2 linked regions of the Rattus norvegicus genome follow. The protein of the gene in region 1 purifies or fractionates together with the protein of each later gene. This does not show direct contact. Links are inferred from orthologs where the notes say so. Each region holds a gene or a part of one and is shown in the gene's direction. Other genes may lie near its edges.

Region 1 (4,558 bases):
CCGGGGCCATGGGTGAATAGTTAAGAGACTGCTCTGGCAGAGGAAGTGGTTCTGTTCTTAGCATTCTTGTCGGGTAGCCCACAACCACCTGCAACTCCAGTTCCAAGTAATTGGACGCCCTCTTCTGGACTCCACAAGCACTACATGCACGTGGTGCACATAGGAGCTGGACCCAATCTTTAAAAAAATAACAAGAACTGGGGCCGTAGCTTATCAGTAGAGAGTATTTGCCTAGCTATTAGTAGAGTACTTGCCGAGGAAGTACAAGGCTTTGGGGGTGGGGGTGAGGCGGGGATAGGCACTGGAGATTTCGGGTGTGACAGCCCCTTTAAGTCTTTCAGAGAGATTGCCTTAGAAGCTAGTCAAATTTAGTCTCTGTAGCCTCGGTGCAGGGGAGCTAGGAACTGATCGTTCTGCAGTCCCAGAGAGCAGGCCTGTTCAGGTTCTGGCAGGTTAGGACTTGCTCAAGCGTGTCCTAGCTGGAGCCGAGAAGCAGTCTCAGACCCCAGCTCTAACCCCCACGGTTTGCTTTCATAAGCAGGATCAAACTCTTGGAGAGTGGCTGTAAAACAATTTACTAACAGATACTAGAGGCCGGCTGGTTCCTACTACCGAGCTTCATTTAATTCCGAGTTCAAATCATACAGAAAATAAAATTTTCTCCTTAAAAGGTTCTGCGGAAAAATGCTGTCGGTGCCATGCGGCCGCCTCCGTGACTGTGTTTGTGTCTGAAGAAAGGACTAGTCTGACAGGAAGAATTACAAATCTGGAGCTCATTTTGGCATCCCAGAGGGAAGGTGGGTGGAGCGTCTCACAGTAAATTAGGAATTCAGAATGAAAGCGGAGCTGAGTTTATTTGGGTTTTTAGTGACACCTCGAAATTATTACACAGGCGTGTCGGAGACAGCTCTAAGTACCTATGACTGCTCCCGCTTCGCCCCGAATCCCCCATCATTCAAAACCCGTAGGCCTCTCCGCTTCCACGCGGGGTCAGGAAGGTGGGAGGGAAGGAGAGCGGCGGGGACCCACAGTCTGTTTATACTGCCGAGAGACACAGGCCACTCAGGGGTGTGTCTGAGCTCCGCCTCGGGATTCAGAATCTGGGCTCCGACTTTGGGACTGGAATTTGAGGAGGGCAAGACTAGGTCTGGGGCGGCCATAGAGTGCGGGAAGAAATCGGGTTATCTTTGCGGGGAGGCTGGGAATTGAGGAGCGGGTCTAGGGAGAAGAAGTTGAACCGCGGACCGTATTGAGGGTCGGAGTGGCGATAGTTGAGCTTTGCCGGTGCAGGACTGTGCAGGGAAAGTCAGGGTGGGGTTGGAGTAGAAGAAAAGAGCGAGCAACGTCCACAGTCTTTCCCTGAGCAACTCTTACGGGCACACCCAGCGCTTAGTCCGGACTGCGGGCTCCCTCGGGCGCGCAGGCTGGACCCTGCCCCCACCCGCCGGTAGAGTACGAGCTACCCTGCTGTGGCTGGAGTATAGGCGCCCAGCGGTGAGGGGGCGTGGCCAGAGGCCCAGCAGTGCGGAGGCGTGGTTAGAGGCAGAAGTCCAGGGCCGCTCATTGGCCGCCCAGGGGCCCCGAGGGCGGGGCTCTCCGCTGGGTCCCTCTAGGGCGCTCGCGGGCGGCGGGGGAGGCGGGGTCGGCGGGAGCTGGGCAGCCAATGGGCGTGCGCCCCTCGAGCAGTTACAAAGGGCCGGAGCGAGGCCGCAGCGGCGGCGGGGAGGTGGGGCGAGGAGAGGCGAGGCTTGTTGAGGAGAAGCTGAGGCCGGGGCCGGGCCGGGCCACAAACAGTGGCAGCGGGACCATGGAGGCGGCGTCGGCTGCTTTGCGTCGCTGCCTGCTTCTCATCGTGTTGGTGGCGGCGGCGACGCTGCTCCCGGGGGCGAAGGGTGAGTGGCGGGCGGGTGGCTGTGGGGCGCGCGAGCCGGGCCCGGCCTCTGGCTCGCTTCAGCTCTTTCTCAAACATGGCGCGGGGCCGGGGGCGCAGGTGGCGGCGCCGGGCCGGCCGAGCTTTCCTGACCCGGCAGGCGCCACGCGAGCCGGGGCGGGGAGGAGAGGCGGGGCGGGGGCGGTGTCGAGCGCGGGTGGCCGAACACCGAGCGGAGGCCTGCCCTCTTGGGCTCCCGGGAGCAGCGGCTGGCGAGCCTGCTGAGGTCTGTGGCTGCCCTCGGGGGTGTGAGGCCGGCGGGGACCGTGGCCCCCTGATTCCACTGCCTAAGTGCTCTCCGGCCTGAGACTGTTAGGGCGTGGGCGGGCACCGGCGTGGAGGCGCTCCGGGGCTCGGCGCGTGGAGGGCTCCTCGGAGGGTCGTAAGGGGCGCCGTGGGCAGAGATCCCGGGTGGGCCGCACTGCTGTGAGTGTCGGCGCCCGCCTAGGGCGACTTTTCTTCAACCGGGGGCTTTGTGTGAGAAGCAGGCGCGAAGATGCGCGGAATGTTCTCTCTTCGTGCGTCTGGGAAGAGTTGAGAGTTCAGTAACCAGAAGATTGCCTTGCTAGTAGAAACTTGAACGTTTGCTCACTCTGCAGACTTGGGATCGTTTGAATGGGAATGATTCTGTAGAATTGATCAAAGATTTCTTTTTCTCGACGGGATCGTTGCTTTGGGTGTATCGTTTCCTTAAGCAGTAGTCTTAAAATCAGACCTCTATGTAGCTGGCTTTTGAAGGGAAAATGTGTAGTTTTCCAAAATATTAAAACCGGCCGTGATACGGTTGTCACCCCGTGGAGGGAAGATTGAAAAACTTAGTCCGGAACCGATTAAAATAGGAGAAAGCAAAATACTGAGGCTCAGATTAGCAACTAAAATACAGTGAAAATACATGTCTGTTGCTGAAATTGGATAACATTTTAAAAAGCAAAGCATACCAAAACAAAAATCTCTCCAGACTGTGGATGCCAGCTGTTATTAAACTTAATAGTAACTGTTTATTGGGAGTTGATTATAATGCAGATGTAAAAGGCACAGTATCTCGGGGCACAGAACCCTCGGGGCTACCAGTACTTGTCCTGTACATTGACTTGAAAACTGAGGTGCAGGAGATTACGTTCTTAGTAAGTGCAGAAATTAATTTGTACTTAGGCCTTTCTGGGCTCAAAATCAGTGCACCTGCTATACCGTAGCATAGCCCACTTAAAGAACAGTTGATATTTGACACTTAGAACTTAGCCATCAGTTTCTTAGTTTACTTGAACTTGAACAACCTAGTACTTGAACATTCCCTTCACAAAGGTCTTCATTAGAAGATACCATGGGTTTTTGACATTGGCTTAGGAAGGGAATAACGGTGGACAAAGTGGGGGAATTGTTATAATTATTCACCAACTATAAGTGGCCATATCTCTACAATTATTTGAATAAAGTAATTCTTTTCTACCTAAAACAAAGCAAGACACGTTCATGCATTTAGCAGTATTGACTTAGATGCTGAGAAGGTTGGTCCGTGTCCTGGAGGATTTTATTACTCAAAACCTAGACTAGTACTTCATAAACTTTCCCCGTTTGCCATCCTCTTTTCTCAAAAGATTGTACGTGACCTTGAGTACAAAATGTAGAAAGCAAGTATATAATTCAGATGTGCTGATAATAGATCATAAATGAAATTATTTTAAAACAATTCATTGGTACATACAATTTTACTATTTATTAAAGATTCAAGCACATTTTCATAGTAATGAGATGGGTGAGTTTATTTTTACTTAAAGAATTAAATCATCCAATGCCAACGACTCCATATAATTGTTTAGGGCCATTTCAGACATTGTTGAAAATTCTCTCTTAATCACAAGATGAAATTTATTTAATAATTTTTTATTTATATAAGTATGCTGTAGCTGTCTTCAGACACACCAGAAGAGGGCATCAGATCTTATTACAGATGGCTGTGAGCTACCATGTGGTTGCTGGGAATTGAACTCAGGACCTCTGGAAGGGCAGTCGATGCCCTTAACCACTGAGCCGTCTCTCCAGACCTCATTTAATAATTTTTAAAATGAAATTTAAGTCAGCAACTTAAACAGCAGTTTTTAAAATCAGACATTCTAACACAATACAGTCGATCTACAATCGATCACAAATATACCACTTTGATATACATGAAGGATGAAAGCCTTTTCTGTATGTATGTTTCTGGAAGAATAGAAAACTTTTTATTTAATAAAAAACATTAAAACTTATAAAAATAAATGTTAGCACTGCATAACACGACAGCAAGTGTGTTTAGAACCAAGGGTGTTGTGAAGTTGCATCATGTAACACAAGCATGCATTGCCAGAAACACTTCAGATTCATTACTCATTTGATTTTTAATTAATTTGGAGTGTTATACATTCAGAAGTCCTTGAGTATTGCCAGATTGTTGTATGACCCAGCACCTCTATAAGGAGTTAGGATTCAGTTTAAGAAGCTATGGCCTCTTGGTCCTGTGAAGGCTGGATGCCCCAGTGTTGTAGGGGAATGCCAGGGTGGGAAGGCAGGAGGGGAGCGGGTGGGTGGGGAGCACCCTCATAGAAGCAGGGGGAGGGAGGATGGGATAGGGAGTTTCCAAAGGGGAAGCCA
Region 2 (4,594 bases), on another chromosome or scaffold:
CAGAACATATAATTCCGGTTGGAAGAAATAATTACAGTCCACATTTGGTAAAAAATCTTTACCCCACCCCCATGAGTTTTATTACTATCCTGTTACAATTTCAAGAGACTTTTCTTTTTTCTTTTTTCTTTTTGGTTCTTTTTTTCGGAGCTGGGGACCGAACCCAGGGCCTTGCGCTTCCTAGGTAAGCGCTCTACCACTGAGCTAAATCCCCAGCCCCTCAAGAGACTTTTCAAAAAAACCCAATAAATATGTGAGTCTGGGTCACCATGCCAACTAGTTGTCTCAGTCACATTTAACACCCTAGTACTATCCTCAGACCAGCACCCACAGGACTTTCGCTTGACAAATACCTTTTCTAGTTCCAAGCAGTCACCTGCATCTGGGGATAGCTTTCTCTGGAACCTGAGGTCAAGGGAAAAACTCTCTGACCCCAAGTAGGCCCCGCATGCGATTGAATGCTCTAAGCAGGTCTGCTCACTGGGTAACGTTCGCGCGCCAGGAGGCCGAGTGGCGGGTGCCGGAGGTCTTCCAAGCCCGGAGGAAACCTGACGGCGGCGCGCAGGCGAGCTGCACCCCTCCTCCCTCCAGGATGCTGCCCCTCGCTGCTCGTCAGCCTGCCAAATGCATTCCAGAGCTGTGCACAAGACACACTTCTCCAGGCAGTCCTAGAAACCCGAGCCCGGAGCGGGAGAGGGCGGGAGGGAGCGCGGCGGCCGCTGAGGTCACATTCGCGCCGCCTCTCCGCCCTCGGCCGCCCGGCTGTTCCCTCTAGCGCACACTTCCCAGGGCCTCTGTCCTGGCCGGTGTAAATGTCTTTGAAACAGACAGCGATCTCCTCCCCTTTCCAAGGGATCCGCCGCCAGGGCCTTAAAACAAAACGAATGAATGAAGCGCCCCGGCGAGCTCCACTGGTCTAAATCGGGCCACTGACCGGCTCATTCCGCTCCAAACTCGCCCGCTCCACGCCCCCAGCTCTTCCGATTTCCCCCTGCTCCCCCTGGGTCTCCGCCGACCCCCGGGGCCGTCTCGGCCTCCCACCTCCCTCCGCCCGTGGGTACCCCTCTGTAGACCTGGGAGAGGGTGGCGGTAACTGGGAGGGGGGTTGAAATAGCTTTTAGAAACCCGATCTGTTGTTTGCGAAACACAATCGCTTTTTTTTTTTTAAAGCGACAGGGTGTCTAGACGGCCACGTGACGAGGCCGGAGCCGGGCGCGCCACTGCGCAGTGGAACCAGCCGAGCGGAGGGACGGGTGGGGGGGCGGGAAGGAGGCGGCGGCGGCTGGGGGCGGGGGAGGGAGGGGTAGAGGGGGGAGGGAAGGGGGCGGAGGCGGGAGGCCTTGCGGGAGGCGGCGAGCCCTGGGCACATTCGCTCGCTGCTCGGCGCACAGAGGATCTTGTCCCCGAGCAGCGCCAGCAGAGCCAGCCGGGCGCCTCGCTCGGTCCGCTCGCCGCGCCGGAGAGCTGCCTGAGACGCAGCCAGCCAGCCGGCGCCACGCCGCCGAGCGCTCGGCCCCGGAGTCCCTGAGTGCGGCGCGGCGAGCCCCCAGCGGCGGCAGAAGGACTCGAGCGCCAGGAGAGGGCGGACGGGGGACGAGGAGGCTCCCGGGCGCGACGAAGAGAGTCTCGGAGGAAGAGGCTGCGAGAGGACACCCGGGCCTCCTGCCGCCACTGTCGGGTCGGGGCCAGCAGCTTATGCGAGCAGCCCCAGCGACCACCCTCGGCCAGGAGAAGGGGCACCGGCAGCCCCCACGCTAGCTAGCCTGCCGCCTGTGCCCTCGGGGGCGAGAGCTTGCGACCCGCCGGAGCCCGCCGCCGCGCCGCCCTCCCCCGCGCTGACAGCCCCCCGGGGCGCAGCCGCCGCCGCAGCATCTTCTGTCCCTGCTTCCCCAGCGCGGAGGAAGTCCCCGCCGAGGACCTGGGCCCCCGGGAGCGCAGGAGGAAAGACCAGAGACTCTAAAACACCCAGATACGCAAGATTGAAGCAGCCTAACCAGACCTTTCTGTGGATTAAAAGAAATACGATTTTTTTTTTTGACAGAAGAAAAGGAAAGGAAGACCGGCGGGGTTCAGCAAGGAAAAAAAGGGGATGTAACTCGTGGATACGGTTTTTCCCCCCACCCTTCCAACATCTTGTTCTACTTTGTAAACATTTTCTCTTTTTAAACCCCGGCTCCATCCGGTGCCCTCCAGACCTCCGAGGTGCGAGAAGGTGGTGTGTTTTTTCACTGGGGGCTTTGCATATTTGGTTTTGGGGTTTTTGAGAGACCCTCCAGACATCTCACGAGGGGTGAAGTCTACTCGGCCCCCTCCCTCAAGTCTTCGCGTGCACAGAATTCGAGGAGATCCGGTTACTAAGGATATAGAAGAAAAAAATAAATCGTGTGCCTGCCTTTTTTTTTTTTAATTGCCTGCTTCTCCCCACCCCCAAATTAAGTTGCTTAGCAAGGGGGAAAGAGGCTTTTTCCTCCCTTCAGTAGCTCAGCCTAACGTCTTTCGTTTTTTGCCCCTGAGGATCTTCCATGTAGGAAGCCGAGGCTGGCGAGCCCGACACTCGGGAGCCACTGTAGGGGGGCCTTTTTGGGGAGAGGCGTCGACCGGGGCTGCCTCGGCCGCCCCCAGGGAAGCGGCGGCCGCGTTCCTCAGGGGCACGCCGGGGCCCGAGAGCCGCGCAGGGCGCGGGCCGCGCCGGGTGGGGCAGCCGAAGCGCAGGCCCCCGATCCCCGGCGGGCGCCCCTGGGCCCCCGCGCGCGCCCCGGCCTCCGGGAGACTGGCGCATGCCACGGAGCGCCCCTCGGGCCGCCGCCGCTTCTGCCCGGGCCCCTGCTGTTGTTGCTGTCGCCTGCGCCTGCTGCCCCAACTCGGCGCCCGACTTCTTCATGGTGTGCGGAGGTCATGTTCGCTCCTTAGCCGGCAAACGACTTTTCTCCTCGCCTCCTCGCCCCGCATGTTCAGGACCAAACGATCTGCGCTCGTCCGGCGTCTCTGGAGGAGCCGTGCGCCCGGCGGCGAGGACGAGGAGGAGGGCGTGGGGGGTGGCGGCGGCGGAGGCGACCTGCGGGGAGAAGGGGCGACGGACGGCCGGGCTTATGGGGCTGGTGGCGGCGGTGCGGGCAGGGCTGGCTGCTGCCTGGGTAAGGCAGTCCGAGGTGCCAAAGGTCACCACCATCCCCATCCCCCATCCTCGGGTGCCGGGGCGGCCGGGGGCGCCGAGGCGGATCTGAAGGCGCTCACGCACTCGGTGCTCAAGAAACTCAAGGAGCGGCAGCTGGAGCTGCTGCTTCAGGCCGTGGAGTCCCGCGGCGGTACGCGCACCGCGTGCCTCCTGCTGCCCGGCCGCCTGGACTGCAGGCTGGGCCCGGGGGCGCCCGCCAGCGCGCAGCCCGCGCAGCCGCCCTCGTCCTACTCGCTCCCCCTCCTGCTGTGCAAAGTGTTCAGGTGGCCGGATCTCAGGCATTCCTCGGAAGTCAAGAGGCTGTGTTGCTGTGAATCTTACGGGAAGATCAACCCCGAGCTGGTGTGCTGCAACCCCCATCACCTTAGTCGACTCTGTGAACTAGGTAAGAAGTTGTTCTGAGTCCACCTTTCGTTCCCTCTGGCGAGGAAATGCTGGTAGAAATGCTCGAGGGTGTGTGCATTATCTCCTGGAGGAGACAAGGGAACTAAATCAAAGAAGGAACGAGGGGGGGGAAACTCTGACATTCCTTGGGGTTCCCTTTCAAGATTTTGCTCTTGCACCATCCCCCCTCCCTCCAGAGGAAGAGACCCAGGGATACTGCTGCTTAGCCTTATACTGAACTGACATGCTGCAGAAAACGAGACACTCTTATTTCCGGGTATGCAAGGGGATACAGAGCAAAGTGGGGGATCACGCTTCCCCCGCACCCGGAAAGGCGTTGAGGTGTGTGGCCGAGTTGGATTCGGCCCAAGCCCGCCAAGGAAGGCTGGGAGAAACTAGCTTTAAAGGCTGGAGAGTCTCTCCTTTAGTAAATAAGGACAGTCACGTGGGGCACGAGTGGCCCAGATACTGTCCTGGCCTCCCAGCTTTGGAGTTTGGGGGCAGTGGTAGGATGGAGACTGAACTGGGTATCCAGTCTCAGCTGTGCACACTTCGGGGCGAGAAGGAGCAAACAGCCTGGAGAAGTTGGGTGGCCTCTACTTTTTTATCTTTATTTCGCACAGAAAAGCGTACAATTAGTGGTCCTTAGAACGCCCGACACTCCCACCCCTGCGTTTCAGTGACGTCCCTCCCTGCACCATAATTGGCCTGGGCTTCATGGCCGGGACCCTGAACAGGTTCCTCCCCATATTATCCTGTTAGGTTTTCCATGCCTTCTGTTTGCTCCTTGTCTTTGTGCTCAGGGTAGAGGATCATGCCCTGATCCCTGCAAATCTTCCAAGTTCACCAGCAGCTCACTTGGGTGTTTTTTTTTTCCCTCTCAGGTGGGCTGGCTGGGTAGGATTCCCTAGTGCGTGGGTGCCAAGCTCAGCAGTGGGGGCGGAGGTGAATTGTGCTCCTAGTGGCGGGGAGGGCCGGAGAAGCGGGATCTGTAGTTGTAAAAGACACTAAGCAGCCCCAGACGCCCCCCACCCT

What was found.
Region 2: the proteins of Tgfbr1 (region 1) and Smad7 purify together in Homo sapiens (affinity purification with western blotting; 19 studies listed by BioGRID). This does not show direct contact. The link is inferred for Rattus norvegicus from reciprocal best matches to the Homo sapiens genes TGFBR1 and SMAD7.

The regions. Positions count from the first base shown.
Region 1 is NC_086023.1:66,447,673-66,452,230, forward strand, and holds the start of Tgfbr1 (TGF-beta receptor type-1 precursor), read left to right. Parts: upstream 1-1,725; 5' UTR 1,726-1,807; coding exon 1,808-1,892; intron 1,893-4,558. UniProt on the Homo sapiens protein: Transmembrane serine/threonine kinase forming with the TGF-beta type II serine/threonine kinase receptor, TGFBR2, the non-promiscuous receptor for the TGF-beta cytokines TGFB1, TGFB2 and TGFB3.
Region 2 is NC_086036.1:71,261,983-71,266,576, forward strand, and holds the start of Smad7 (mothers against decapentaplegic homolog 7), read left to right. Parts: upstream 1-1,525; 5' UTR 1,526-2,947; coding exon 2,948-3,560; intron 3,561-4,594. UniProt on the Homo sapiens protein: Antagonist of signaling by TGF-beta (transforming growth factor) type 1 receptor superfamily members; has been shown to inhibit TGF-beta (Transforming growth factor) and activin signaling by associating with their receptors thus preventing SMAD2 access.